Arabidopsis thaliana: one gene and its partners. The protein of the gene in region 2 purifies or fractionates together with the protein of the main gene of each other region. This does not show direct contact. Each region holds a gene or a part of one and is shown on either strand. Other genes may lie near its edges. The genes, in order: AT1G63210, AT1G60080, AT3G46210 and SMU1.

Region 1 (8,358 bases), 1.3 Mb from region 2:
CTAGCACTGTTTTATGTTTTTTTTTTATGAATGATGAATACTAGTATTGAATAAAAACATAGAAAAAAAAATACTAATGAACAAAAATCAATCCTATGATTTTATACTTTTTATAGATTATTCATAAGGAAAAGCACAATGATTTTGATATACCACCAAATCAAATCTTAATGACAGGATCTCTTAGATAGGCCGTTACATATATTTTCATATATTGCAATGAAAAATAGTAAATGTTAAAACATAAAACTTTACAAATTTGGTCAATTTTTTTTTTTAAATTGTTACAATTCTTAATATTCATAAATTTAGATTGATTAATTATAGTAAGAATAAATGGATGAAAAATTGGCAATTGAAATTAATAAATATTATATTCTGAGAAATAAATTATGTGTATATGTACATATGCTAAAAGGCAACAAAAAAATAATCTAAATTGAATAGTTTTTCAATATATTTTTCTTTTCTTGACTCTAGTTAAAGTTTACATTGAAGTCATTTAAATCTAGCTACAAATCTTAATTTGATCACTTTTCTTGTTCCACCGATTAGGCTTTTTTTTGTTAAAACTTTTTTACATCTTCTTTATAACAATGATATACTACGTTTTACTCTAGTTCTTTTGGACAAACAACCTTCTTTCTGAATATGATTACTGTACAGTAATTTGGGAACCTAAACAGTACTAATTTCTAAAAATTGATCACGTAAGGAAAAGATAAACAAACACAAGAGAGTAGGAAAAAGTAAATTGACTCATGGCGTAATTGAATTGTCAACATAAAAGTCACTGATATAAAGTTAACTATACTAAAGTAGCTCTTGTGCTTGAACCAAACATCAGCAAAAACCATACCTTAAAATCAATCTGCAAAAAAAAAAGTAAGAGAACATCATTAGTTACATAAATGAATCTAAAAACAATCATTTAACCCAAAAGTAACGGAAAAGAAAAACCCATGAAACAAAACAGAGATGTTAGAATTGAAAACAACACTCTGTCCGCAATAAACAAAGCTAACTAATTAAATCTTTCGTCTCTTCACATTTCTTGTGGGATCTTTCACACTTTTGACGAAATTTAAGTTGAATACTTGTATAGTTCTACTAAACAACAGACCTAATTAACGTTCCAAAAACAAAACTATTATTTCCCATATAGGTTTCTTGCAAAGCAAGCAATCAGTCTAAGAAATTCTTTGGGCTAAGGAGTGGAAAAATTCATGAATACATGATAAATAGTACCTTCAAGTTCATTGATTATCGATATGTCTCTTGAAATAAGCAGCCAGTTTATCAAGATCCCCAAACATTCTTTTCCTGAACTTGAATCCCTTAGGGTATAGACCGATGTACTCGTGGTGCGGATTTGCGGATCGTATGTAAGACAATATAAAGCTCCCTGGATGTTCATGAGAAACACCAAAACTGTAAACTACCATTTTCGGATTCACACCCTTCTCAACCCGAAGAAGATCATCTATTTCCGATTTTGTCCCAGTCCGAAATTTCCGGTGGTTTAGCATTGTCATAAGATGAGTTACCAAAGGATCAACATACCGATCCATTACCTGAAATATTGAAAACGCATAAGTATTTTCACTTGTACCAAAACTGAAATTTTGTAAGAATATAAAGACGAACCTCATCTAGATCCTCGAAGGTTTCATTCCCAATTTTCAGTGTTTTCCCAATACGTTGTAAGCTCACTATATCTTTGTTCTCCTTCTCACCTTCGATTATCTCCTTGTTAGCATACACATTATCAGAAATCTTGATCATCAAAGTCAAATGATTCAGTCCTCGTGAGCTTGGACGAACAATGCTTTCTCCAATATTCTTATCAGACAAATACACTGTTGCTTGCTCGGCAGTGATGTTCTGAAACCGAGGATGAACAATCATCCGAGACTTAAACTGCTTCTTTTCTTTAGGAACTTTCTCTTTCTCTATCAGGACACTATTTCGTTTCTCCTCGTGGTAATAATCATCGACATCCCCGAGATTCCTGTGCTTTCTCATTTCGCTTTCTTTGCAGACAAGTAACACATGATACCTTTGCTTTAGAATCGATTTGACCTTGCAAGTAACGATATCGCCTTCACACAGTTTGTTAGACAAATCAACGATATCTCTACCATCATCTGAGTAATCTTCCTTCAAGAGAATCCCAGGTAATCCACAATCTAATACACATTTGGCTTTACCACTTGTCACTTTCTTAACAGTGGCCTGCACAATCCTCCCTTCACCAATAGTTTCTTTGGTTTCACCTGAAATCATATAAAACTCCTCATCTGAATCAACCTCTTTAAACAGACTCCGCCAATCCTGAAATCCACAGCTTAATTCTCTCATGATCAGACTATAAGTTTCCTTCTTATTCTCTTGGTTCTTGCTTCTCAAGTACTCATCAAGAACGATTTTCCTCAAAGAAGCTGGCTCATCTCTCACATGCTCTATCGCCATCTCTATTGCATCATCCTCATCACCTCTTACAGTATCATGAGCATAAACATCTTTCGCCAATTCTTGCGCAAGACCGTATGATTCGGGATGTATTCTAGTGTCATCCAACAGATCAATAAATTGGCTGCTACTACAAGCCAACCCGCTCCTACGAATCCGTAAGAAACCAGCTGCATTTACGAATACCTTTTTACCAATCCCATGATTTATCAGTTCCTTGCGGACAAATATCGAACCAGCTCTAACAAGAGACTTCTGCAAAGATGCAGCTTTCCTAGGACCAAGACCTGAAACAAACTGTAAAGGAGAAAAAAGCCATTCATGGCTCGCAGCCAGATTAATGTCGATTCCAACTTGATTCGTTATGTCAACCATAACTTGTTCAACCATCTCATACTTCTCATCTGGATCAAGAAAATCTTGAAAAGAATGAAGCTTCCAAGACAGAATATCTCTACCTGGACCGCATAAAGTTGAGATCATTGCTAATGGATTCTGGAGATAACGTCCAAGAGAAACTGCGCGTTTCACAATTCCTGCTTGTTGAGGTAGTTGTTCACTTGAGATTCTAGAATTTTCGTATAGCCTAGGAAGAGATTCATCCGCATAAACCAATGGAAAATCATAAATCCTATCATCTACATAATTCAACGGCAGCTCTTCCACCATTTGGAATATAGCCTCATAAATCTCATCCTTCAGGCGTACACAACTCAAATTAACAGCTGCTAAAGCCAAAACATCTGGTTGATGGTCTCTTATAAACTTTAGAAAACGATCTTGATCCATTTTTTTACGTTTCTGGTCATTTACATCCCGAGACCGCAATCCAATGGAACCTGAGTAAAGCACATCAACCAGCTCTCCTGATGAATCAAGCATCACAAATGTAGTTTCTGGATTTCCAGGTCCCCAACAACAAGCTAGGACCCTCGGTGCAGCTTCCTCCTCCGAGGTATTATTATTCCTTCGATATGGCCCTGAAGACACTTTGTTCCATAAAACCTGTCCATACTCTGAAAGCAACTGAGTCTTCGCTCTGCTAGTTAGCAAGGATCTTGCTTCTTTCTCCATTGACGGCAAAACAAAACCATGAACCGCATCCTCCAGTATCAATTTCCTCTGCTCGTTCCAGAGTTGAGCATACTTACTAACACCAACACTTAGATAGTGTTCACTGCATTCACTAATTATCCTATTCATCTGATTCTCAGGCAGCTTGAAAGTTACTTGAAGAAGCTTCTCCTCTTCTGCTTTCTGAATGAGAAGCCATTGTACACCATCAAACTTTCTCAATGGCTTCTCGCTTAACCACTTAACCGCAGAAAACCGATGGAAGGAATCTATAACCACATTCCCATCTGGTGTTGGACTCGTTGAGACTACTGCATTCTCCATAAAAATTCCACGAACATACTTTCTAATCGATGGCTCGCAGCTTATCTCAACCGCAGCCATATGCCTTGCACCTTTAAGAACAGCTTGAGAATCTCCAAACATTGCACACTCATAGTTCAATGCCATCTCCTCTGGTGTTTTCTTTGCATCTTCAAGCTCATCAACAAAAACTTTCTCAAGAGACAACGCTAGTCCCAATTGCTCAGCGCTATAACCAAACTTGTTTGCAAATTCCTTAATCCCAAATTTGCTGCAGATGCTATATTGCGATTTCCTATTCGGCCTCTTGTACTGTCCTTCATCGATCTCACAATGAGGAAAATGCAAGTTGAACTTTGAGTCTACATCATCAACTTCTCTCTCTGTCTCCGCCGCTTGAAGAGACTTAATAACAGATTCAAAAAGACTCTTATTCAGATCAGACATGCAGGTTTCTTCTTCAAAACGTTTGGTATAGTAACCAAACAACGCGGTTTTCCTTTTCCGCAGAAGAACCCACTTTCTATCCAAATCTTGAATCATCCACAAGACTTTATGCCACTTGGTCTCAAGCTTCTTGTCAAGATTGAAATCACTACCATCATGATCATCATCAGAACTGTCCAATAAACTCCGACACTGCTCCTTCCGATACATAGCTATAAACGGTATCTCTAACTTCTGCACATGAAACATCTCTAAAAACTTCACAATGTCATCCTTATTAATCAAACAACCCTGCCCTTGTTCTTGAAGCAATCGAGCATAAATCCAGTTGCTCTCTTCTTGAATGCTCATGTCATCTAGGGAAACAATTCCAATGGCTTCTTCAAATATCTGCATTCTCTCAGGAACATCAAGCTTCCTAATTTCATCATCTTTCTCCGTCATATACTTCTCAGAGAGAACCATTGGTTCAAACTCATCTTCTAACTTTCTTTCGATCTTTTCGTTATACTTCAAATCCTTTTTCCGAAGTTTCAACAATTCTTCAGGATCACCAAATACATCATTAGCGTATCGTAAAGCGTTCGAATCAGTTCCTTGCTTATATTTCATTTTCTTCCTCCTCATTCCTTGAGCACCATGATCATCTTCATCTACAATGAAGTGACTCAAATCATCATCATCATCATCATTATTGATCTTATCCTCTTCCTCTGAAGATTTCTTCAAACGTTTATACTTGTTTCTTTGGAAAGTGTCGTTGTTATCTTTAAGAAGTAGATAATCATCTTCGTGAAGAGTAAAGGATTCGTCTTTCTTCCTTCGACTTCTACTCTTTTTCTCACTACAATGTCTCTGTTCTTCTTCTTCTTCTCCATCATCAGAACCATTCACTAAAAACCCATCGTCAAACTCATACTGATCATCTTCGTCTTCATCATCTTCCTCACGGTTCTCCACTGGATCTTCATGAATCTGGGGCTCTGTCTCAAAAACAGAGTCGAATCGTTAGAAAAATAATAATAACAGAGAATTTAGGGCTTTTGAAAGCAGAGCTTTTTATGTACCTTCGTCGATCCTATTCATGACTAGGTTAGAATATTTAGCTATACGAAATCGATGAAGATGGAGATCAACCCTAGAAACTCTGTGATCGTAAAACTAGTCTCTATTTGATTCTGAATTTTGCGAAGAGAAACAAAGAAAAAGGCTTTTCGTACTTCTAGGGTTCACACCAGCATTAAGAGGCTACTAATTGAAGTTTTGAAGCATTTCTTATTTTTAAAAATATTTATGAAACTCTTTTTTTAGCTGATATTTAATTAATATATTTGGTATTTTTTTCGATTCATTAAGAGATTTATTTTTCATATTCATACAAATTTATATTGATAATTCTTTTTTCCACTAATTTTTTCATTATATAAACTAATGATAAAATATATAGGTGAAATATATTTTTAAAATATTAAACCTATAAAAAACAAAGAAATTCTCGAAAACTAAAGCAGAATCTACCGAAAACACTTAATAAAATTCATAGCACAAAAAACCATAACAATTAAGAATTGCAAAACAAAAAAAAAAAAAAAAAAAAAAAGATCAAGCAAACAACGGAGGATGGGATAATGAATCCTAAGAACTGAAAAAAGTAAAGAAGCAAACCAGACCGACGATCACTTGAATCAATAGAAACCGAGTTTGAGCCAAAGACAAGTGTTTAGAAGAGACTGCTAGATCACTAGAAGCACGAACCAATTAGAAACTCTAGCACAAACAGCACCAAACCGGAAGCAAACGCCAGACTGATCAAAACTACAACGGGCACTCACTCCCCCAACACCAAACCAAATTACTATTGATAATTTCTTATATCACATCTTTTGAAAAAAGGATTTAATTTAAGCCTAGTTATTAAGGCGCTTAACGTTGCCAAAAAAAAGAAATTATTCTATAAAATTAATGATTTTTAATTTAAAGGTTAGGTGTTTCTCTAGACTTAAATTATTTTCTTACACGATAGAATACTTAGAGGTTATTTCTATTTACGAAAAATGAGAAAAAAATGGAAAAACCAAACGGACTGAAATCACATGGAGTTTGTATATGCATTATTAATTCATGAAAAGAAGTGTCTTGAATTTTCAACCATTTTACTTTTGAAAATCACACTCAACAAAATTAGCTTTTGGTATAAGTATTTTTTTTTGTTGAGAAATTCGTGAAGACGTGTCGTTGGGTGGGTTCCAATAGATATTGTTCTAATATTGGCTAAAAGGTGTCCAAAAATAGAGTGATTCTGCAGAATATATTAGTATAATCATCTCCACTGGATAACCAAAAACAATATTGTTTGTTACATCGTTTCTCTTTTGTCATCTTATGCTATCACATGATGATTTTTTAAAAAGTGATGCAAGTTTGTAACCCTCTATGTTCACATGCTACGTACACGCAAATTTTGAAAGCACGGTCATTCAAGAATGCAAAACGTGTTGGTGGTCGAGAAGGCCGTGGACCCGTGGTCATTACAATTACTCAATTAGTGTTTTCTAGTAATTTAGAATGCACATGCACTCCCCCTCTTTACTTCATCTTCTCATCCTTATGTTGTTATTCAGTTTCTCGATTAGCTGTAACACTAATCTCTTCGCTCTCTAAACCACATGACCCAATCCAACCAAAAGGTTGTGGTCTTGTAACCTGGCATTTTAATTTGAAGACTTTTTATCAGAAAAAAAATGCAAAACGTGTTGTCTTCATCAAGAATGCCAGATTACAATTAGTAATCACCTAAATACCTATCATCTTGGACATCAATCAATTTTCTGTTTTATGTTCTCTAACCAATTAATGCCTTGATAATTTGGAGAATTTTTTTTTTTGGTGCAATGCGTTTTTCGTGAATTGGAATCAGACGTTGTCAATTTAAAAAAAAAAAAAAACATCGGAAATCATCTACCGTAGACCATTATAAATTAAATATATTTGGAAAATTCTGTATGAAAATTTAAATGCATTATTTATCCGAAACAAATAGTGAGCACATGTTAATTATATTGTTGAAGAAGACCTCTTATGGAAGTTGAATTTCTCTTGTCTAATTGTTAAACTATGATTATATCCAAAAGATATCTAAGATTATGACATCATCTTTTATCTACCACTTGTTCATACCTATGAATCACTCTTTGAATTCCTTAAAACTCTTCATAATATATTGTAGTAAATAAATAGAAAGGTGAAATACTCCTTTGTAAAGTTTTTTTTTTCTTTTTCTTTTGGCATCGATATTTAATTGACCCTTAGTTAATTTCTAGTTTTGACATCCCTCATGTCTCCAACGCACTCCAGAGACCATAGTTAAAGAAACATAGAATAATAACCAATTTCAAAATCATTCTAGAATATAAGAAACAAAAACAGGATTTTGCTACAAATCTATGATCAATCCAAAAGCTGGCTATATATTATACGGAAACAATTACTTTTGCGGATTAGTATAGGTGAACATCGGTGAAGCTTAGTCCGAATGTATCCCAAGACATGATATCTTAGAGCGCCACATGTACTCTAGTATAAGTGAACAATTCTACCATAAACTATGAACACTAATTTAGCTCACTGCTCACCAAGAAAACCACATTGGATATCGCATAAGGTCCTATGCCAAGCTGCAAAAATCATGAACATAAGAGAACAGATTAAAAGAGATTCGAGAGTATATTAACATAAAGGAAGAGATGAATCAAAAGTAAACGACGGGTTTACCTTTTATGTGTCTTGGAAGATCCAACGCATTTGACTGACAAAACAATCAAATTTTACCGTTACAAAAGAGAGTCATATATGCAGAGGATGATCCAAAAGAGAAAGAATTATACAAATGCACACCGTAATTGCTGATTCATAAACAAAAATGTGGCCTAATAGAAGGATTACATTCGTCATGTAGAAAGAAGAGAACAACAATAATACCTTTCTGATAGGGCTTTGGTCTGCATAATATGTAGTCATCCGTAACATCATAATCATGGCGGACCCTAGTTTGAAAGAGCTTTA
Region 2 (7,030 bases):
AGATATGGGTGATGATCAATGCTTACGATTTTGGTCAATTTATGTTAGCAATTTAATTCTTTTTCATCCATATTTTCATCTCGAATTTAATCTTTAAAAAAGCGTTTGTTAGATCACTTAGAAATCCAACTTTGATGCTTTTTAGTATTAACTAGTTCCGTGATGGTCATGTTGCTGATTTGCTATAATTTCATCGTTCTTCTTTTAGTCTACTTATCAGTAATTAAGTGCAAATCTATCATTATTTTTTTGTTTTTGTAAGATTCACTTTCATCAAGATCAGTATTGATGAGGGTGAGATCAGTTTTCTAGGTAAATATTGTTCGGATCAAAGTTCTCATGAATCAGTGAACCAAAGTTTTAGATTCTTCTGGTAAGAATTCTGACTTACCGCAAGAATCTAAAGTGTTGATATGTTTTGTCAAATACAACCAAATGTAAAATTCTTTTATTTGTTTTTTTAATACATTTTGAGTATGGTTTTTAAAACAATGGTCACTAGCTAGAGTGTCCATGATCAATTCGTCTTCGGTCGTTGGATTTGCTAAGATGTAGTTCTTGAACATGATGTATGCAAGTTAAAGAGAAAGAGATGTTCTTAATCTTCAGTTTTCTTCTCTTTGTACGATGCTTCCTTTTCGGTGATCGATGCATTGACTTGTTCCTTTTGTCCAGAGATGACAACTACTATAATGGTTTGAAAAACTTAGGGTTGAAAAATTAGGGTTAAAAAAAAAAACTAGTGGATCGACGCCAATGGATAGAGTAGAGGAAGAGGCGGAAGATAGGGAAGTAAGTATACAATCTAAAGAAGATGAGAGTTTTTGTAAGTTTCTCGAGATGATTCCTCTTGATCTAATTCCTGATATACTCTTGAGACTTCCTGCTAAATCTGCTGCGAGGTTCCACTGGGTCTCTTAGCTATGGTCATCAATCACCACTCATCCAGATTTCATCAGGTCGTTCGCGAGTCAGTCTTCAACTAGGTTGTGTCTTTTGGTCTGCGTGAAAACAAGTGACAAGCGTATTTTCTGCGCAATGCCCCAACATGAAAATCCGGACAGATCATGTTATCCACATGTGGAGCGTTATCTGAAAGACACTCTCATATTTGATTATCACGAATGGTCCCAGTCGGTCCATGGCTTGATATGTTTGGGAGATTCTTGGGGCATATTGTAGTTTGGAATCCAATCATGAGACAACATGTTACCTTACCAAAAGTCGCATTTGAATGTAGCTCTTTAGGATATGATCCGGTCGAGGGTAAGTATAAAGTCTTGTGCATCTCATGCTCTAGATACCAAGATCCTCTTGTTTTTACTTTGGGACCTCAAGAATCATGGAGAGTGACACAAAATACCCCTAAACATGTCCCTCTATCCGCCGAGGGACTAATACAAAGTATATGTATCAACGGGGAAGTGTATTATGAAGCGAGTATACCTTTTGGAGTCGATGATAGTTCTGAAGTTGAGAAAGTCCTTATGAGCTTCGATGTGAGGTACGAAAAGTTCAACACAATAAGAAAATCAGCGGCTGATAATTTACTTTGCAAATTTTTCCTCAACTACGAAGGAAAATTTGCATGGGTTTGCTCTGACGACGTCTCTGGTAAATGATTTTGGGTTTTGGAGGATGAAGAGAAACAAGAACGGTCACTTAGAAAATTTCCTCAACGTGACCCGATCTGGAAAGTTTCTTGGGGGCTGAGAGGTATTACTCATGATCCACTGGTGAGTTTATTTATACAGCTGCAACAACATCTGAAGCAATTTATGTCTTATATTATGATCCAAAAAGAACCCTAGTAAGGAGGGTCAAATATGATTATATGAAGGAATTGGTGACGAAGAATTCTGGAAGCTTAATCATAAAAATGTAAGAGAGGTCCGCTATTATCATAATCACACTGAGAGTCTCATGTCTTTGGAGGAAGTTCCTCGCTTAGCATATGATTCTTCCACAGATTCAGAATGATTTTATGTTATTTAGTATTTAATTAGTCTCTCGAGGACTTTCCTCGTCTAGTATGGAATATTTCTTTCACAGATTCAGAATGGTTCTTGTTACAATGCCTCTTTTAAATGGAATAATATTTTAACATACCCTTACATTATAACATAAAAAAATTCAGAAAAGCCTAATCAAAAACAAACTTGCGATGGTGGTCAACAAACAAACTTGTTAATTGCTTTTGATTTGAACATTTGTAAAATTAATCAGCTTACGCACATTTCGGTTCGTTTGAAATGGAGATAATATAATCTCACACTTACACTAGCACTAAATTAAAGTCGTTATATGACAAACAAAACCGTAACACAATCGAACAAAAATGGTGAAGAGCTTCTTCCTTTGCCTCTAAATGGGTAACTTGGTGATCTGATTAAAATATGTAACACAAAATTTCAACAATGTTATGGAATCGTTCCATCTGATAAATTAGTCGATATCCATCTCTCCCAATATCTGCTTAAGCTCCTTTGCTCTCTTCCTTGCTAACTCGACACAGCTCTGCGCATAGCAACTTTATAAGAAACAAAAAACGGTGTAAATCAAGTGGTGGATTAACCTAAGAGAAAGCTAAAACTCTCACCTTGATGGCTGATGAATAGGCGAGAGCAGCTCCTCCTGATTTGTAGAAAGAAACCATTTGATCCGAGGAATCCAAAACAACAGTCACAAGAGTGTCCATGATCGATTCTTCTTCGGTTGTTGGATCTGCTAAGATGTAGTTCTTGTGAAGTATGCAAGTTAAAGAGAAAGGAATGTTCTTAAGCGTAAGTTTTCTCTTCTCCTTGTTCACTGCTTCTTTCTCGGTGATCAAAGCATTGTCTTGATCTTTTTCTCCAGTGACGGCAACTATTCTTCCATTGTCATTCAGAGCAACAATTGGAATTTGCACTGCAATATAAAAGATATTTTATGCATCAGAGGAAAAATTCTTCTGTCTCGGAACACCAATCACACAACTTCTGAACAAACCGCTATTGTGCAGGGAAGAATATTACTCAGGTATGACTCACTCAGCAAGATTTAAGTGTTCTCTAAGGCTTGCTCTTTTTACTCATATTCGAAATGGATTTGATAAACTTGAGAATCAGCTTTATTCAAAGGTTCTCTAAAGGAGCTGTGAAACCAACTAAAGGATGAGAACAGAGAAGAACTTACGATTGGAGAAGGCTGCGACAGCAGCAAGCAGAGCAGCATCAAAGAGAGCACCATCAGCATCCAGGCAATATATGTCCTATGAGAAATTTCAGAGAGCAACAATGTTCATATATATGCTAGAGAACTCAGTTAAATATCAAAGAGAAAGATCCCTAGAAGAATAGATGTGAATCAACTGACGGACAAGCACCGATATAAGACCAACGAGTACTCACCAGATAACCCATCCAAGCAGCTTTTCCACTAACTAGACACAGTTCTTTAAGATCAATCATACCAGAACTAGAACAAAAAAGAAACACTTTTAGAAGGAACATTGTATTTGATGCTCAATGAGACAGAGAAAATATAAAGAGAAAGATCAAACCAAAACACACCTTAAAATAGTATCAGACAAACGCTTTGAAATAACGGGAGCAGCTTCGGCTGGTCTTCCAGGACGAACAGTCGGAGAACAAATTGGAGGCATATGGAACTCAATAGCTACCAAAAAGGAATCACAAAATGAATCACCAAAGAAGAACAACAAACCACATAGAGAACAAGACAACGAGATAACAACCTATGCATCCTTCGTCTGGAGAGTCCGTAGAAGGAGTCATAACTTCCATTCTAATAGCAGCAAGCATAGTCTATAAACACGAAACAACTATGTAAGCAAAACATTGCTGATCATGTGAATACTATCGAAACGACTAAGGCGGGTTCTTACAGTGGAACCAATCTTAGCAAGAGCAGACCCATCAGCAGTTGAAACAAGTCCTACAACAAACACAAGAAACCACTATAAAGTTGACATTTTTAATTTGATAAAAACTAAAAAGAATCAATCTTCATTGTTTATACCAAGATTAACAATGGTGTCTCTAGCTTTTCCAAGTTGTCTTCCATCAGGACGAAGAGATTCAGAGAGATGACGCTCAAAGAAACGAAGAGGGAAGATTCTTCTAAAAGCATCAACTTCCATCTCTGTCGACAAGTCTTGAGCTGCATCTGGTATTCCCATGTTTTCTTTAGCTCTGCTTCATGTCACAAAGATAAAGAGAATCATAAACCAAAAGTCTCTGAGTCTGTGCTTCATCAACACAGTCTCAAGGAATCACAAAGCTTACCTTGGGACAAAAGAAAGAACTGCCTTTGGTACACGAAACTGTTGTAGTGAAGAGGAAACACAAGCAATAGAGTGTAAGAAGAAGATTGAGAGCTCGCGGTGTCGTAAGTAATGGGGATTTCGACGGAGACGGTGACGGTGACGACGGCTAGGTTTATCTGAGTTTTTAACTAAAGTACTTCTTCATTCTAAATGGGCCCCAAACAAAGCCCAATAATGTTGCGAAGCCCAAAGAAATGCGAAATAAGAGATTTGTTTGCTTCACAAGACATGAGTATATTGAAATTTGGGTTTTCAATTAGATGAATTTGGCGAAAATATGAGGCGCACTTGATTATGAGCTGAATTTGGGAAAATGTTTAGTGTAAATTGTAAAATATGAAGAAGAAGAAATGGCGTCAAAATGAACATTATACATTCTTGTTTTATATCCAATTTTGTTAATCCTCCATACATTACTTAATGGTGTTTAATTATAAGTTAAGAAATTTCTCTTTTACTATATATATCGTTATAAGTATTCGTAGAAAATTTCAATTCAAAACATCGTTATAAGTATTCGTATATTGAAATTTGCAACAATCAACAGAAAAACTTATCGTTATTCCGTTTTTTTCACATCTATTTTAAAATTTTAAGATAATGTATGTTTAATATTTTATGCTTTGTAATAATTATTAAGTTTTATGAAATAAAATATTTTTTTCTTTATAAGAGGACCAAATATTTTTACTTTAATACCTCAAAAGTTATTATATCATAGTCCATACTATTAACAAAAATTTAGGAATACCCAAAAAAAATTGAAATGTAACAAAAAGTCCAAAAATATTTTTTTGGCCCAAAAGCCCTCATATATGTGGGGCTGGGGCTGCATAGCCGCATGGTTTTCCGGTCCCCTAGTTTCTTTCGTTATTTGGGTTGGTCAGACCTGGGCTCCGATCCAGCGTAATCTGTTTCTTATCATAGTAAATAAAGACCATAATTCATTTCAACACACTTCCCAATATGTTTCTTATCTAAATTGCATCATCATTAATGTCTACGTCACAACTATATCTAGCGGGTACGCAAATGGCTACTGGACTTACTTATTCTAACATGGAACGAAGAAAAGAGTGTGTGTGTGTGTGAGAAATGGAACAGATTTTGGCTCTGTTTGCCATTTTTCTTGCTTTTGCTTTCTCCGGGAAATGCAGCGACGTTTTCAGCAGATCTGACTACCCTGAGGGATTCGTCTTTGGAGCCGGCACTTCTGCTTATCAGGTTTGGAACCAATTTATGAGCTTCTTTTTTCTTAACTTTTGAACAAAACTGAACCAAATGTTTGGTCTCTACTAGTGGGAAGGAGCTGCTGCAGAAGACGGAAGGAAACCTAGCCTGTGGGACACTCTTTGTCACTCTCGTAAGCTTTTCATTTTAACACAAACTATTATTAGTATTAGAGTTTGTCACTCTTGTGCTTTGATTCTTGTTTCTAACATTGCAGGTGACCAAGGTAACGGAGATATAGCATGTGATGGGTATCACAAGTACAAGGTTCTTTAGCTTCTCTGTTTCTCTGACTACATCATGAGGTTTTATTCATCAAGCCTGAGTTTCATTATGAATTTATACAGGATGATGTGAAGTTGATGGTGGACACTAACTTAGATGCTTTCAGATTCTCCATCTCTTGGTCTAGGCTAATACCTAGTAAGTTTTCTTAAACATGTTATAGCTCAGTGAAGGGATCAAATTTATGATCAGTTCGTAATTTATTATCTGATTAGATGGAAGAGGGCCTGTTAACCAAAAGGGTCTACAGTTCTACAAGAACCTCATCCAAGAGTTAGTAAGCCACGGTAAGACCTATCTTCATATCCACGGTAGGACTCAAGAGTTAGGTTTAGTTCGTATTAACTAGAGTTTAAGTAGACTTACTACAGGAATTGAACCACATGTTACACTCTACCACTATGATCATCCTCAGTCTCTGGAGGATGAATATGGAGGATGGCTCAACCACAGAATGATGTAGGCGTTACTTATTTTCTCTTACAGATTTTGTAGTTTAAGATAAAATAACAAAAGTTGATGTTATTTGCCATTGCAGCAAAGACTTTACTACTTATGCAGATGTTTGCTTCAGAGAGTTTGGGAACCATGTCAAACTATGGACCACGATCAACGAGGCTAATATATTCTCTATAGGAGGTTACAACGATGGGGATACACCGCCTGGTCGTTGTTCCAAACCGAGCAAAAACTGTTCTTCAGGGAACTCTTCCATTGAACCATATATTGTAGGCCATAATTTGTTGCTTGCGCACGCCTCTGTTTCAAGACGATACAAACAAAAATACAAGGTATATATTACATAACCCTCTCTTGAATGTGTGAGAAGAAACACACTATAAAGTATATATAATATGCAGGATAAGCAGGGAGGTTCCATAGGATTTAGCTTATTCATATTAGGGCTTATTCCTACTACAAGCTCCAAGGATGATGCCACTGCAACCCAAAGAGCCCAAGATTTCTACGTCGGCTGGTGAGTCAGGCACAAACTGTTCCAAAATATTGTTCAACATATCTCAATAAAAAAGATTTACTCTTTAAAACTCAGGTTCCTTAGACCTCTTTTATTTGGAGACTATCCTGATACAATGAAAAGAACCATTGGATCAAGACTGCCAGTTTTCTCTGAGAAAGAATCAGAACAAGTTAAAGGCTCATGTGACTTTGTAGGAGTCATACACTATC
Region 3 (6,688 bases), on a different chromosome or scaffold from region 2:
AAAAATGTCAATTTTTTATGGAAAAGATGATCGTTTAAGGATCAAGCGAGCCACCTCAAGATGCCGGAGAAAGTCATGGTTATATAAAGGGAAAGATGATCCTCTAACTCATCTATTTTTGCAACTTTACCCTCCACCTTCAACAAATGCAAATTAATACTATGAAGTCTAAAATAATATTTATTGTAACCCTTTTTCGCCCTTCTTTTGCTACCATCAATTTTGTAAAATATTGACATATATTATGTTAAATCAAAGCTCTCTTGACGAAGTGTTCAACTCTACCTTCACAATTTTAAATATCTAATATATGTGAACGTAAAAACGTCTACAATATACGTATAAGGGTCATATTGCGTATTATTTTAGACTTCAAAAGATTAATCTGCATTTGTTGGAGATGGAGGGTAAAGTTGCAAAACATAGATGAGTTAGAAACATTTTTTTTGCACAAACCCCTTATATAAATGAATCAAACTCTTATTAAATGAAACCCCTACAAAAATATATTTAAAATGAGAGAGAAGACATGAAGTACTACTAATTAAAAACACACATAGCATAAAGGATTACCAATGAATCTGCCATCCAGACTCCATAGAACACAAGTAATAGATGTTGTTATTTCTTCAGTCAATAGCAAAAATCCACTTAGTTGAAAGCAGAGATTAAGGGCAAAAATAACAAGTCATAAATAGATGTTGTTATTTCTTCAGTCACACCTTGTATATCTCCTTCTAGAAGACTCTGATCTCTTTAGGTGAAACGCACCGTCTTGGACCATCACGTGCACTCATGTGACATAAGACTTGAGACTTGAGACCCTCTGCTTCCAATAGAGGCTTCTTCTTAAGTTTCTTTCAAGTTGGCTCACACTCAATAAATCTCCACCTTGAGACAATCCTTGAAAGACTCTTTATGACTTGTGAGATGTCCATAAGAGAGGGAAAGATGAACCTTAAGCTTTGGTGAAAGTTTAGACATCTCCCATGGCATGAATGACTTCGAAGCCACTTCTTTAAGGACAGAAAAGTCTCACAATGTGACTACAATGCTTGCAGAATCGACTGATGGAATATAGATAAACAAAAGATCAAATGACCAAATTATGTTAAGAGAAACTAAGCTCAGGATTTTGTAAGTTGTGAAGTTTACACACCAAGAAGTAATGCTTAGAATTCTTCCTAAATTTTGTAAAATCCTTTCTGAATTCTATTTTTTTACGAGAAATTTTTGACGAAAATTGTTTTAGCGAGAAAATATTGTCTGAAATTTTTGGTGATGAATTTATGTATTATTTGAATGTTATTTTTGTCCAAAAAACTTTTGAGTGCTATTTTTGTCCAAAAAACTTGAAATGTTGCTATTTGTGGGAATTTCCTATAAACTAACAATCTTTTGTTTTTCTTTCTTTTCTTGCAGTCACTAAAAATAATAATTTAATTCTCTTCAGTTAAAACCCAAAAAACAAAAAAAAAACTAGAAAAGCTTTTCTCCTATATGTAATCGTTTTCTTGAAAATGTATTGTGATCCATGTAAAATTATTTAATTCTTTCAACATAATACATATTTTGTTTGATATGTTCTCTCAAAAATTAATCATATTTTTTCTTATGTGTTTAGGAATAAAATTGTGAAATGAAATTTACTTTTCTGATTTTATAATTGGCCTATTATACGAGAAGCAACACAAAGTGGCAGCAAAGTCATCATTTAGTATTGGAGGTCGGGTTTTGATCCCTTTCAAAAATCGCCTCCTTTCTAGAAATGTTCAAGCCTTGCTACGTACTAAAAATATTCAAAACTGACTTAGAAGGTAAAAAAGAATAGACTATTTTTTATACTTATTTTTTTTTATTTATTGATTTATATCTTTAAATTGTACGTGACATTGTTCAAGCCTTACTATGTTCTAGAAACTGACCACGTGGTTTTGCAGAGTTAGAAGGTAAAAAAGAATAGTCTATTTTTTATACTTAATTTTTTTATTTATTGGTTTATATATTTAAATTGTAGGTGACATTGAAGAATACTTTAATGATAGAATTGAAGGTATTACATCGATAGCAAGTAGTTGTGGAGTATGAGAAGAAGTTGTTTAGATTTTTTTCACTACTTTTTGTATTTCTGTTTTAAATTAGAAACTTTGATGAAACTCTGTTTTGTATAATCGTTTAAATTATTAATGTTTGAGTGGATTTGGGTTTACAAATTTGTTAGAAACTTGGATGAAAATAGAGAATTAAAATATAATTAAGGATAACAAATAAAGTTGTTTATACAAAATATAAATACATGATTATATGTAAAATTCATAATATTAGTATATATGATACTAGTAAATACATATGACACTGAATATAATTTAAATATATCTATATATAGAAACAGAAAATAAATACAATTGAAAATATATCTCTATATAATTCGGATACCCACATGTAGTTCTGGAACACATGTGTTTTTCTGAGTTTTATCCACAAGTCCCAAAACTTTCGGAATTTTTGAATTTGAGTTTTTTATGGGCGGGCTCAATTTAGGTTCGGACTGGGCGGTTTTCTTTTATCCACGGCAACATTTCAGGACAGTATTATATCTCAACTATTCGATGAGTTTAGTTTGGTTCGGTTCGGTTCTTTTCACTTCAGTTCCAGTTCAGTTGTTTCGGTTCCGTAAATTTGTCCGGGCCTTCCTATGATTATTGAACCAGCTTTAATCCAATTTGCAACTATCAGGAGTAATGGAGTATTATTGATCAGAAAGGGGCCAATTTGTTTTCATTACTACTTTCCCCAATATTGTTGAAGCTTGTTGTGCTTATCGTTCATCTCATATGTTGGATAATTGAAATAAATAGCTCATCTGCTCTTGTTATTAGAAATTATACTAGATTTTCTAGTAAATTACAGTATAATCCATGAACATGTTCTTTATAATTGACTCGAATCTGATCCCCACGGGCTGAAAAATTGTCAAGACAAGTGATGAATCAATAGCTCTGACCATGGCTACCATTTGTATTAAAGATACGAGGTTCATCTGTTCACATATCTAATGATACTAGATAATAGGCCACTAGCTTTTGATTTTTGATTAGACACATAGACGACAAGGATTCTATCAAAGCTACAACAGGAGTAATATGAAACCGTTTCAAAATCTCATGCAAACCATTATGAATTTGTGCTTTTACCCAGCCTTGGATGAACTTTGTTGGAAGTTCTTTCTAAAAAATGCAGATAAACTAGCCGTAGCAGCACGGCCGTTCTCTACACACAGGAAATAATCGTCCACTGAAACAAAAAGGCAAGAATTCAGAATTATAGATGATGCAGTGATTGAGAGAAACAAGTTCTTTAAAACATGTCTTACACAAATGAAATGTATGAGCATAATACACCATAGTGAATTCTATTCAAGAAAGGAAAGTTGATCAGTACCTGACATTACTCCATGTGTAATTGATGTGATGATCCCATGCTCTACTGGCTCGCCTTCCGCTACTGATGACCCTTCCGGAAGAACAGAGAGAGTTGTATTTGGAAAGACTAAATAAGCAAAGGCCGTCATTTTCTGTCCATTGCAGTTTCAAGTAAGTATAACCAACACGCAAAAGAAAATATAACAATGGACAACAAGGCTTTTAAATAACCTTTTCTTCAAGCTTGTTTGGATCGAGTACGAGATATCCATTCTCAGCCAGGCAACAGCATATAGCAACTGAAAAAACAAAAAGCTGATGAAACAGTAAGAAGTAACACACAAAGTCAATTAGAGAAGAGTGTAAATGTACCAGCCAGATGCTTCATAGGGATTCCTGCATCGACAAGCGCTGCACATGCTGCATTTATCGCACATGGTAGAAGCTAAACAGAATTGAATCAAGGAAAAAGCAGCAAAAACTGTCTTCTAAAGTAATGCACCAATTATTCCACTAAAACATATTCACACTCCCAGCTCATGGGACTACAAACTTTCACTGCTAAAAACTCTAAAAATACTAAAACCAAGATTGCTTATACTGGATTATATGTGTTTGACACAGTATCAGTAAATGTTTACCAAAAGGCAAGGATCATAAAAAGGATACAGAACCATCATCATGCACAACCTACACAGGAATCAAAGAATGAAAAGTTCAGATACAACTCAAGTTGATAAATCGATATATACAACAATGAAATAGCTACTCACCTGAATTATCACTGAGGTGGTGGTATTTGGATTAACAGTCAAAACACAAATACTCTGTATCGTCCTTTTCAATATCATCTCATACTCCTTTTCAACTTTTCCTATCATTATGCAAAGTAAAAGTCAGTCAGAATCTAAAAACCAAGAATCACCTCTACCGCATACTCAAGCAACAAAACAACATCCAGACATGATTAAACTAAATGCATTTACGAACCAATCTGCCCGGATTTAGGCTTCCATATGACTTCAAAACAAGCCTTCTCAGCATTTTCGTTCTTTTTCGTTCCTGCTTTAGGTCCATAAACCGCAGCTAGAACTTTTGTATCCCCTGAAAATATAAACAAGAAGCATACCCATTAGAAAGTGCTGATATATGTAATCAAACAAACAAAAAACATGGAGATTAAAACAAGTACCTTGTGACCAACTAGCAGAGCCATGAGGACGATGAAGGATATTACGGGAACAAGCAAGAGGTCTCAGCTGATTTGGTGTTCTTCCATCTTCTCTATCAATCTCCATTGCTACAATACTTCTTCACACAAAAGGGTTTCACAAAGTAAGCATCTTTTGTCACAAAATCAAATTCTCAGATTCTATAACTGTGAATTGTTACCACTGAAAACAAAATTTGAACTGCTTCTAGCTCAACAGTAGGTGTATTTTAATGGTTCTGACCAACATCCGAGTAGTTTTTTTGTTAATTGAGACAAAAAAATCGTTCTTTCAATTCTACAATACTCGTTATCTAGCACATAAAAGACGATGTATGAACAAAAGGACACACGAATCAACACAGAGCTAGACTAAGAACCTAATTTTGAGGAAGCTAGAAGCAGAGACGATTCCGTATCAAACAAGAAGACTAACGAAAGAGAGAATACACAGCTACGGAACTGAAAGCTGGAAGAACAACTGAAACCACCAGAGGAGAGAAACTCGAAGAATTAGGGTTTATTTGTTTCAAAACCCTCAATTTCAAATCAATTAGAGTATACCGAAAACAAACCGGTTAATCCGGTTATTCAAACATTGGTTTAACTTTAACCAGTAAACTCAATTGAGGAAAGATACTTAATACGGTGTTTGAACATAATCAATCTTCCGGAGAAGAATTTGTGTATAACTGACGGAAAAAATCCGACGCATCGACGATATCAAATTTTGATCTGAGATTCAAATTCCGGTGATAACGCGAAGAGGAAGATGGATGATGAATTGTTGGAATTGCAGCGTCAGTTCGAGTTCGCTCAACAGGTGAAGTCAAGCGTGAGATTGTCGGATCGAAATGTTGTCGAATTGGTTCAGAAGCTTCAGGAGCTTGGCGTTATTGACTTCGATCTGCTTCATACCGTCACCGGAAAAGAATACATCACTCAGGTACTGATTCTATTTCGTTTCCGGTGTGAATTTAGACTCCAGAAGAATCATCACTGGGTTTCGCATAGAATTCTGGTATCATGATGTGAGTAATGTGTTAATGGAGTGAAAAATTGCTAACTCTTCTTGTTGCATGAGGAATTTAATCGGAAAAAATGAAGTTAAGTTGTTTGATCTTGATTTGTTTCAGGAGCAATTGAGGAATGAAATTACTCGTGAGATCAGTAAATTGGGACGTGTCTCTGTTATTGATCTGGCAGATACGATTGGGGTTGATTTGTATCATGTGGAGAAGCAAGCACAAGATGTGGTGTTGAATGATCCAGGGTTAATGTTAGTTCAGGGAGAAATAATATCACAAAGTTATTGGGATTCGATTGCAGAAGAAATTAATGAGAGGCTTCAAGAGTGTAGCCAAATTGCTGTGGCTGAACTTGCTGGTCAGTTACAGGTTGGCTCTGAGTTGGTGCAATCGGTTTTAGAGCCTCGACTTGGAACTTTGGTAATTGTGCTTCTCCTCTTGAGCTTTCCAGATTGTGTTTAAGTGAATGTGAACTTTTATATTTATGGATTTTTTTTTCAATCTTTTTTAGGTGAAAGCTAGGCTAGAAGGTGGACAGTTATATACACCTGCTTATGTAGAACGTGTGACCGCTATGGTTCGAGGTGCTTCCAGGGGTATATTTGTTCCTTCCAATTTGTCGGCATTGTGGGCACCATTGCAACAGTTGGTACAAGAAACGAATGGAGCCAGTGGAGTTGCTGTTGAGAATTCATTTTTCCAGTCTATATTTAACCGACTGTTGAAGGAAGAGGAGATGCTTGGATCACTACGTGCTGGAACCCATTGGACTCCTAGTGTATGTCATAAAATTCTTATCTTTTGGGTTTCTGCCACGAATGGATTTACCACTCTATTAATTTACGACAGTCTTCAAAATTTCATGAGTGCACTCTTGTCTATGCTTGATGTTTCCCATGTTTACCATTCATTAGAGTAACTTGTTTGATTTTGGTGGCAGGCTTTTGCAACTGCTCAAAAGGAATGCGTAGACTCTTCTTTTTCACAGGTTTGGTCATCATTTTATCTGAAATGTCTTTAGTCCGTTT
Region 4 (9,570 bases), 5.6 Mb from region 2:
TGTCTATGGTATAATACCGGAAAAGGGCAAGCCTGTGAGTGGTTCCTCTGACAATATAAGAGCTTGGTGGAAAGAGAAAGTGAAGTTTGATAAGAACGGTCCTGCTGCTATTGCTAAATACGAAGAGGAGTGTTTAGCGTTTGGGAAATCTGATGGGAATAGGAATTCACAGTTTGTTCTCCAGGATTTGCAAGATGCTACTTTAGGGTCTTTGTTATCTTCTTTGATGCAACATTGTGATCCTCCTCAAAGGAAGTATCCGTTGGAGAAAGGGACGCCTCCGCCTTGGTGGCCAACGGGGAATGAAGAATGGTGGGTGAAACTCGGTCTGCCTAAAAGCCAGAGTCCTCCTTACCGAAAACCTCATGATCTCAAGAAGATGTGGAAGGTTGGAGTTTTAACGGCAGTGATCAATCATATGTTACCTGATATTGCAAAGATTAAGAGGCATGTTCGTCAGTCGAAATGTTTACAGGACAAGATGACAGCTAAAGAGAGTGCGATTTGGTTGGCGGTTTTGAACCAAGAGGAATCTTTGATTCAGCAGCCTAGCAGTGACAATGGAAACTCCAATGTGACTGAGACACATCGTAGGGGTAATAACGCTGACAGGAGGAAACCTGTGGTCAACAGTGACAGTGACTATGATGTTGATGGGACAGAGGAAGCTTCAGGTTCAGTTTCATCTAAAGACAGTAGAAGAAATCAGATTCAAAAAGAACAACCAACAGCCATCTCACATTCAGTAAGAGATCAAGATAAAGCAGAGAAACATCGCAGAAGGAAAAGACCTCGAATTAGATCCGGAACTGTCAATCGACAAGAGGAAGAACAACCTGAAGCTCAACAAAGAAACATCTTACCTGATATGAATCATGTTGATGCCCCTCTGCTAGAATATAACATCAACGGTACTCATCAAGAGGACGATGTTGTCGACCCAAATATTGCCTTAGGACCAGAGGATAATGGTCTGGAACTAGTGGTTCCTGAGTTCAATAACAACTATACTTATCTTCCACTTGTTAATGAACAAACTATGATGCCTGTAGACGAAAGGCCAATGCTTTATGGACCAAACCCTAACCAAGAGCTTCAATTTGGGTCAGGGTACAACTTCTACAATCCCTCTGCAGTGTTTGTACATAACCAGGAAGACGACATTCTCCATACACAGATAGAAATGAATACACAAGCACCACCTCACAACAGTGGGTTCGAGGAGGCCCCAGGAGGAGTACTTCAACCCCTTGGTTTACTCGGAAATGAAGACGGTGTAACAGGGAGTGAGTTGCCTCAGTATCAGAGTGGCATTCTGTCTCCATTGACTGACTTGGACTTTGACTATGGTGGTTTTGGTGATGATTTCTCATGGTTTGGAGCTTAGTGTCTTGCCATTTTTTTTGGGAGATTACATAGTAAGTTTTTTTTTTATTACACAACACCATCTCATATATTTGATCTTAGTTTATAGATTTGATGTATTTTGTTTTACTGTTATTTTTGTAGGTTCAAAAGGACATGGCAATAGTCTGGCTAGTACAGTTACTTTCTCTTCTTCATTTCTTCTGATCTTATATTCTTCCTCTTTTTTTCTTATAATATTTTCTTAGATTTGTTAAGAGAAACAATTTTCCTTTTGAATAAGTTGCCAGAAGAACTGCTTTGCCCGTTGTAATGGTCTCTAGGGAAAGCAGTTAGCGTATCATCATTTGTAAATTTACCTGTGAGTAATTCATCAAGTTAAGAGAATCATTATTTGTTTCTTTTGAACTTCCCAAGTTTTCATTTTTTTTTATATATTTTTGAGCTTGACTTTATTCTTTCCTAAGACTAAAAAGTATATGGGAGTTGACTGGCTGGGAAGGTCAAAGAGGAAGGAGACACGTTGTTAAATAAACTACTACAAGGCTCAAGGCCAGGTGAAACGGTCTTAAAATCTGAAATGCTGGTTTTAGAGTCTGTGGGTAGTGTTCCCAAAATGGCTGAGATCTTTGCAAAGATGGTTTCACATTACACTAGTTCTAACCCGAGAAGAGTGCAAATCAAATAAAGACAGACTAATCATACAGAAAACAAGACTTGATGATGAGAAAACTCAGGGCTTCCATAACTTCATAGTGCAATCTTCACTATAGGTAGCAAGGAGGTTTCTATGCGGGTGGTGTGTTATACCAATCACATCCTTCTCATGCACCTGTCATAAGCATAAACTATTCAGAAACCAGGTCTAATAAAAGACAACTAAGATAAGTATTAAGAGAGAGAGAGAGAGGATGATAATCTGAGCTCTAAAATGGAGAACAGATGAATCAAACATTATAACACACAAGGGACTTCATTACTCTAGTGAGTTACTGTTATGTGTTTGTCTCAAATGCAACTTTCAAATTTCCAACATCCAAAATCTTTTGGAGCATGTCTGTTACGGATATAAACTTACCATCATGAAATGCTCAAGTCCACCAGATTGATAGTTGAAGCAGTACAGTTTCCTGTAGGTGCAAACACCATTACGAACATCAAAGGCAGAAGATGAAACCCGAAAAGAAAGGAACCATAAGATTATCCTTTGAAATCAAACTCGTGGAACTTATCCAAAAATAAAACGATAGATATAGGAGGTTAGAGTGTTACTTGTCTTCGCCGATGCAGTATATCCAATCTCCTTTTGTAGATACACATGCTGCTACAAAATCTCCTCCTTCCCTATTACCGGATGAGAAACTCTTCACAACCTGCAAAAGGATTCCAATATAGAAGCATGTGAACAATCTTAGTTTTGGCATGACAATGACACTGATTTGCAGGAGACCGTTGCTGGAAATTTACCTGTCCTTGGAGTGTCATAATGTATATAGATGATGTCTTGTTGCACACAACAATGTGTTCTGTGTTTTTGGGGAACAAGTGAATAGAGTTGACTGATGCATCAGTTCCCTATATTTCAAAATTCAGACTTGGTAACCAAAGAGTTTGCCACAGAAGATCAGAAAAAGTATTACAAGATGTACATAAATCTGTATAAGAAAAGATACCCTTAACGGAGGTGGCGGCTTGAATGTTTGTAGACAATCTGTCGTCTTAGAATCCCAGACCTGTGCAAGGAAACAAGACTGTTATTACACGGCAGAAGGGGCAGAGAGTCCAAATGAGAAACAATGATACTGCTGACAGCCAAAGCCGAAGAATTTACCTTTACTGTACAATCACTGGAGGCAGTGATAATACGGCTTCCATCACTTGTAAAGATGGCATGATTTACATAAGATGTGTGACCACGAAATTCTTTCAACAATTTCCCAGATTTCAAACCATGGATTCTGCATAAAATAAAGCAAAATATATAATAAGAATTTGATATTATATTCGACTAGAAGCTCTACCAATAAACTTACATAACTACCAAATGAAAAGGAAAATATTAACAAAAACAAGAAGAAAAAAGATGCAATCAAAAGTTAAAAGAATATTCTACCATCAAAGAAATATAAAGCCTCAAGTTTTTGATAGGACGAGATTCATATCGCAAGTACAAAATAAAAAAATAAAGATATAACTAATAAAACCTTGCAGTTTGGTCAAAGGAGGTACTCAGTAATTGGCTTCCATCCCGAGAGAAGGAAAGACTTGTAACTCCTTGGGAATGTGCATCAAAACGACGTATGCATACACCAGTCCTTATACGCCAGATCTGCAAAAGTGACATGCATCTAAGTCTAGTTTTTCTATTTGTATTCAATCAGAATACATATGGGACCAATGAGAGGAAGAAGATATATCTACCAAACTGCCGCAATAGTCTATCTTCAGACAAAAAATTCAACTTTAAGGAAACATATGCAGCTGGAACTTACTTTAATCTTTCCATCTTGTGACCCAGATGCAAGCATCTCTGAATCTCTGCTAAAGTCTATGCAGAGGACAGGATCATCATGCATCATGAAAGATTCCTGTCAGAAATTAATCATAGTAAGTAAAGAGGATGGAATGGGAACTCTTTATCCAAAACTGATATTTTGTATACCAGGAAGTCTCAGACGAGATACTTGGTGCTTTAGGAGTTACATTGGAGAAAAAATTAAAATTCAAAGATAACAGTAATCCACCATATACTTGGTGCTTCAGGAATCTCATGGGCGACATTTTTGGAATAAAAAGCAAAAAGTAATCCACCATATCATTCTCACAGACTTGTCACACGTTCAATAATCAGATGCAGTAAGGATTATTTTCATTTGATTAAAATGTACTAACAGCTCATCTGACCCCGTACTGAGTTAGAATTAAAAAATGAAAAGAAGACATGAGAGCTTACATCAGCTTGATATTGCAAATCCTTCTTGAGCTTTCCACTTATGTAATCCCATACCTGTAATGCTTTTCAAGTCTGAGCAATCCTAGTCACAGAATTATTTTAAAGACTAATAACTTGTATTATCATACATACAGATTCCGGATCAACTCACCTCGATAAAACCATCCACAGAAGAAGATGCAAGAAACTGTCCATCTGGTGAGAATCTAGCGCATTCTGCATGACTCTTTTTACCAAACTGCACCAGCACCAGCACAAGGAAAAAGATATGAAAATTAGACAAGAACTCAACTGATGAGAAAACCCAAAATAATCATGAGCAACAGATCATAGACCACTAAGCTAAAGAAGCTATTAAAGTGTGAATATGAACCTTTATGGTATGAGTAAGAACATTAGGATGTGTGTCTTCTACATCTTGCTTCATAGCTGCCGTCCCACGAAAGAGGTCAAACTGTGTTCCTGGAGGGAGCAGGCCTGACACAAGTGTATGTAAATTTTAGGAAATGAGAGAGGGTACATATGTTGATTCCATTGATATATTAGTAATGTAGGCAAAAAAGTAAAAGAAAACGAGATGAAGTTTGACAGAACTGTTTGGTAGCATCCACAGTTCCTTAGATAATCACCTTGATGTTGTTGCCACTTTAAAGCCTGACCTATCAAAGCCATTAACCGTGAAGGTGGTACCACGGTAACCTCGGCAGCCACAGCTGATCGAGTAGGAGAACAAACAATTAGTGAACCTTGAGTACATACTGAGCAAGAGAAAACAAAAACTCTATAACCATTAAACAGGAAATAAGTTCTCGTCATAACTTCTTTTCATGTCATAATAATATTTAAGCATGCAATAGAGAGAGTATTCCAGAACATCACTTGGTTCCTTCAGGTAATTAATCATACAATAACTGAAGAAAATTGTTATTGTAGAAAATAAAGAAGAAATGGCCAACCTTGAGCAATCTGTGCCCGTTTTCTTTCTTTAGTTGAGTCTCCATAAGCCTTAGAAACAAAGGTAAAATTAGCAAACCATGATTATCACAAGGAAATGATTACATGAAAAACGCCACTCTTTGTGCATAACATGAACAATGACTAGGAGACAATACACCTCAAAAGACTAATCAGATAGAAAAGTCAAATCCATCAACATGTAAAAGAGCTAGTAACATGTAAAGATACTTTTGTACTCAGAAATACGAGCATGTGTTATACTTTGAGACCCTCATCTAGAAACAACTTCATGTTTAACCGCTCACTGGTTCTACTTAAGATTTTGAAAGATATCAAAAGTCGCAAGTAGAGTACAGAAAATGCAAGAGATAACAGATATAGCAACATTGTTTGAACTGTTGAACAGTTGCGGACAACCATGCTTAGGTGACACAGCAACAACAAAAGCAACACCCAACGTGATATTGAATAGTCGAGCATAATATAGTTTCCATACCTCATGCGGATCAAAATAGCTTCTGACTAGAAGATGCTCCATCCGCAAATATCTTTCTGCTTGCTCCTGCTTCATGACACCCATCACCTGAGTTTGTCTCAAAATAGCTCGGGCAGTGTCCAACTCTCGAAGTTCTATCATCTCCAATACAATCTGAAAAAATCACCCCGAAAATAAACAAAACTTACAATGACAATCACTATTTTTATACACTTCTACATTTCACAGAGTAAAAGAACAAACCTGTTCATAAAGGTCTTCAAGTTTATTCCTGGGAAGTTTAAGCTGGGAAACTTGAGGTAGTACCGAGTCCCATCTTCCACTATTAATATCAGAAATAAACGTCTCGACGCTGTCTACTGTATTCAAGGAAACCTGACACTCGCTTTGTAATGTCTGGAATGTCTGATTCAAGGAATTTTCTTTGCAGAACTGAAGCATAATCTTTATTACACTGAGACATTCAACACAATAGAGAGCTATTAGGGATGAAGATCTACACAAAGCTGACATATAGCATCAAAACGTTCTCCATCCAATATTACTAACAAAATGGCTAATAATACTGTCAATGGTTTCAATCCAAGCCGAGAATTAACAAGAGTTCAAATTTATACAAATTGGATTTTTCCTCGAGACGCATTGCAAAGAATCAAAACACTCTAACGATGATCTCCCTCAAATTTTCGTATACGACGTTAATTTAAACGAAGAATAGCTACGGAGGAATCTAGATATTCAGAAGCAATTAGCTTTAGAAGAACCAAGCTAAAACAAATTATGGGTAGATTTAAAAACCACAACTTTAGTATGGAGGATATAAAAAAACCAACATTCAAGATGTTTTCTCCAAACATGTAACCTAAGATCCATCTGAGCATTCGTAAACGATGGTTCTTGGAGCACAATTCATATCAGTGACACTAAACGAAAACTAGGGTTTGTAAGAGAAAGCGAAATCTTACTCTCGAGCTTCGATTTCGAGCGCCATACTCAGTCGTAGTGGGTTTTCGCCGGAGACGCTAAGAGGTAAAAATGCAGCAGAAAACACACGCGAAGGAGTTTCAATTTGGTTTTAATTCCAGGACAATGCCTCAAATATCAAATATTATGGGTCAAAATTAAACTTTCAGAAACTCCGAGTGTTATTTTGTAAATTTAAAATTGCAAAACATTGCTTACATACCATTTAGCTTTAGCTTCACACCCTTTTTTTTTACAACTTTTAGAGAAAGACAAAGACAACAATAAACACATTGACACTGTGGTCTTCAAGAGTTCTCCACTGGTTCGTTCCACTCCTCTGTTCTTCAACTCTAGAGCTCCATCATCATCTTCATTGCTCACTACTATTACTTTCTTGAGATCAATAACTGATATACTTTGACTGAAGCTGAGAGACTCTTTGTTCCGAATGGAAGGAATTTGCTGGCTACTCTGTTTCATATCTTCCATGTTGATATTCATCACCAGTAACTGACAAGATTCCAAATTGGAATCAATTCCAGAACATCTGGCTCTTTTCATGGGCTTTGATGCTATACAATTGAAAATAAGAGCAAGCAAGACAGGAGAAAGATGTTCAATCCAGAGACCAAAACCAACAGAAGACCAACCCGATGATGCAAATCAATCTATTGTTGTAAGGAGCGTATGCTAATTCCTCTACCAAAACCATAGCCAAAGGTGCTCGCTTTTATAGATTTGACCCTGTGGAACCTTTTTTTTTCTTTCTATAACAGTTTTAAGATACACATTTCTTTACCAGAGATCAATCTGAGGCTTAAGTATGCATATTTCCTTTGGCTTCTGTGAAACTGTACAGTCCATTTCCACTAAATCCTATATTCTACAATATTTCTTACATACATCTGTGGCTACACTTCAAAATGCCTCGTCTTCTTCAGAATTTTCCTCTTCATCGTCTTCTTCTTCTTCTCCAGATCTTGAACTACACTCCCTTTCAGCTTCAAAAGCAATGCTCATCTCTTTCTTCACCACATCAGCCAAGTCCTGTCTGTTTGCACTCACATAAGCATCTCTAACTGCTTTAAACAACGATTGGCTTGGTTCAAGCTCCCCAAACGTCAGCCGGCTATGTACCCTCTTCACACCTTCCACCATTCCCGCTTTCCCGTATATCCCAACAAGGTAGGCTTGCGTGACAATATCTGGTTCTAGACCTTTTTCCTGCATTCTCATGTATGCCTTTAGGGCCATGTCAATGTCTCCTGATGCACTATAAGTGTATATCACTGCGTTGTATGCAAAATGCTCGCGAGGAATTTCACCACTTGTGAGCTCTTGGCATGATTCCAGCGCATATGCATACAAACCCATGGCTGAGAACAGAGTTGCAGTGATTGCTGGTGTTGCCAGTGGTTTAGCTTCATTGTATGCGGTTTGTAGCTGCGACACAGCTTCACTTGGCACCCCACCTTTCTTCAAGAGCGTGAAGAGCGTTTTAAATGTTCCCCAATCCAGCAAGAGCTTTCTTTCAACTAACATCTCATGAAACAGTTCACAGCATTCACTTAACTGCCCATCAGCAGCGTAGCAAGCCATAACCTGATTAAATGAAGTGCAGTCACTTAGTAGACCAGACTCTCTCATTTCTTCAGCCACTTCAATAGCCTCGTCGAGCATGCCCATGCCCTTGTACAAGTACATCATTGTTGCAAACGAAATAACATCACATGTGCCTTTTTCTCTGAGAGCATTGAAAATGGATTCTGCTTCAGAAACTATGCCAAGATCTGCACACAGACTTAGCATGCTGTTTGATGCAGCAACATCTGGGCCACCTTCTGAATCCTTCATTTTGTCATACACTCTCCTAGCTTCTTCAAGACACCCCACTTTGCTATAAGCCTTGATAAGGGAAGTCAGAACGATATGATTGGACTGAACGCCATGTTCTTCCATCATTCTAAAGTATTGAATCGCTTCTTCGACCATTCCACTCTCAGCAAACCCATTAATTAAGGAACCATAAACAACTTCATTCGGTTTCACCCCTGTTTTTTCCATTGCCTCGTACAGGTCAACTGCATCAGACAACAGGCCAAGCCGCACATAGCTAGCTATCATAGCAGCATAGGTCTTGCATCCAGGTTTACAGCCCGAATCCAGCATTTCAGCCAAGATCCGCTGGGCTTCGTCCACTAAATCAACCCCAGCAAGCATCTGGAATAGGGAATTGTAAGTGCACTCATCAGGCCAAGTCCCTTGGTTCTTCATCCCTTTGAAGAGAGAAAGTGCTTTCTCATGAAGTTTGGCCTTACCATAAGCCTTGATCATGACATTGTACTCCAAAACATCATTCCTCTGGCCTGACATGTTTCTTTTCCCATAGAACACAGTCTCCGCTTCAACCCACAGTCCCTTTTCAGCATAGACATCAATAACTGCTGCAAGTGTCGTTGACGAAAGCACACAATCCAACTGGAACCTCTCAAACAGAGCTTTTGCCTGTACGACTAAACCTTCATTGACATACATCTGCATAATAACAGGAACAGAGTGCTCATCAATGCGAATGCTATTTCTGTCCATCTCAGCTATCACAGCTTCAACTTCTGCAACCATTTTCCGCTGACACAAGATATGAAGAACAGCTCGATGAGTTACAGTATCAGGAAAAAGTCCTACTTTCCTAATTTTCCTATAGTACTCAAGAGCTGCCTCAATGTCCCCAGCATCAGCATGAAGAGACAAAAGGATATTATATGTCTTAGTATCAGGGGATATCCCTTTCTCTTCCATCTTCTTCAACAAGGATTCAGCCTCTGACAAATGC

What was found.
Region 1: the proteins of AT1G60080 (region 2) and AT1G63210 fractionate together in Arabidopsis thaliana (co-fractionation; one large-scale study listed by BioGRID). This does not show direct contact.
Region 3: the proteins of AT1G60080 (region 2) and AT3G46210 fractionate together in Arabidopsis thaliana (co-fractionation; one large-scale study listed by BioGRID). This does not show direct contact.
Region 4: the proteins of AT1G60080 (region 2) and SMU1 fractionate together in Arabidopsis thaliana (co-fractionation; one large-scale study listed by BioGRID). This does not show direct contact.

The regions. Positions count from the first base shown.
Region 1 is NC_003070.9:23,440,253-23,448,610, reverse strand, and holds AT1G63210 (Transcription elongation factor Spt6), read right to left. Parts: upstream 4,924-8,358; coding exon 1,648-4,923; intron 1,575-1,647; coding exon 1,257-1,574; downstream 1-1,256. Other genes in the region: AT1G63206 (Cystatin/monellin superfamily protein), read right to left, coding at 7,961-7,970, 8,068-8,101, 8,275-8,358. UniProt on the Arabidopsis thaliana protein: Transcription elongation factor that enhances the transcription elongation by RNA polymerase II (RNAPII).
Region 2 is NC_003070.9:22,150,160-22,157,189, forward strand, and holds AT1G60080 (3'-5'-exoribonuclease family protein), read right to left. Parts: upstream 4,485-7,030; 5' UTR 4,287-4,484; intron 4,194-4,286; 5' UTR 4,181-4,193; coding exon 4,021-4,180; intron 3,937-4,020; coding exon 3,887-3,936; intron 3,807-3,886; coding exon 3,737-3,806; intron 3,658-3,736; coding exon 3,552-3,657; intron 3,457-3,551; coding exon 3,390-3,456; intron 3,251-3,389; coding exon 3,175-3,250; intron 2,908-3,174; coding exon 2,600-2,907; intron 2,518-2,599; coding exon 2,446-2,517; 3' UTR 2,071-2,445; downstream 1-2,070. Other genes in the region: BGLU4 (beta glucosidase 4), read left to right, coding at 5,423-5,551, 5,627-5,690, 5,775-5,824, 5,905-5,980, 6,058-6,129, 6,214-6,301, 6,381-6,633, 6,703-6,818 and 1 more.
Region 3 is NC_003074.8:16,973,770-16,980,457, forward strand, and holds AT3G46210 (Ribosomal protein S5 domain 2-like superfamily protein), read right to left. Parts: upstream 5,148-6,688; 5' UTR 5,096-5,147; exon of another isoform or gene 4,815-5,095; intron 4,734-4,814; exon of another isoform or gene 4,731-4,733; 5' UTR 4,721-4,730; coding exon 4,615-4,720; intron 4,527-4,614; coding exon 4,413-4,526; intron 4,297-4,412; coding exon 4,196-4,296; intron 4,113-4,195; coding exon 4,092-4,112; intron 3,868-4,091; coding exon 3,795-3,867; intron 3,722-3,794; coding exon 3,654-3,721; intron 3,575-3,653; coding exon 3,442-3,574; intron 3,295-3,441; coding exon 3,191-3,294; 3' UTR 2,862-3,190; downstream 1-2,861. Other genes in the region: AT3G46220 (E3 UFM1-protein ligase-like protein), read left to right, coding at 5,405-5,578, 5,769-6,080, 6,172-6,438, 6,601-6,648. UniProt on the Arabidopsis thaliana protein: Probable component of the exosome 3'->5' exoribonuclease complex, a complex that degrades inherently unstable mRNAs containing AU-rich elements (AREs) within their 3'-untranslated regions.
Region 4 is NC_003070.9:27,722,251-27,731,820, reverse strand, and holds SMU1 (transducin family protein / WD-40 repeat family protein), read right to left. Parts: upstream 6,831-9,570; 5' UTR 6,763-6,830; coding exon 6,737-6,762; intron 6,226-6,736; coding exon 6,015-6,225; intron 5,925-6,014; coding exon 5,772-5,924; intron 5,324-5,771; coding exon 5,275-5,323; intron 5,032-5,274; coding exon 4,948-5,031; intron 4,796-4,947; coding exon 4,692-4,795; intron 4,557-4,691; coding exon 4,470-4,556; intron 4,373-4,469; coding exon 4,319-4,372; intron 3,954-4,318; coding exon 3,858-3,953; intron 3,695-3,857; coding exon 3,570-3,694; intron 3,324-3,569; coding exon 3,197-3,323; intron 3,099-3,196; coding exon 3,039-3,098; intron 2,941-3,038; coding exon 2,833-2,940; intron 2,739-2,832; coding exon 2,638-2,738; intron 2,496-2,637; coding exon 2,444-2,495; intron 2,198-2,443; coding exon 2,099-2,197; 3' UTR 1,790-2,098; downstream 1-1,789. Other genes in the region: EIL3 (ETHYLENE-INSENSITIVE3-like 3), read left to right, coding at 1-1,387; AT1G73710 (Pentatricopeptide repeat (PPR) superfamily protein), read right to left, coding at 7,656-9,570. UniProt on the Arabidopsis thaliana protein: Auxiliary spliceosomal protein involved in splicing of specific pre-mRNAs that affect multiple aspects of development. Required for proper accumulation of SMU2.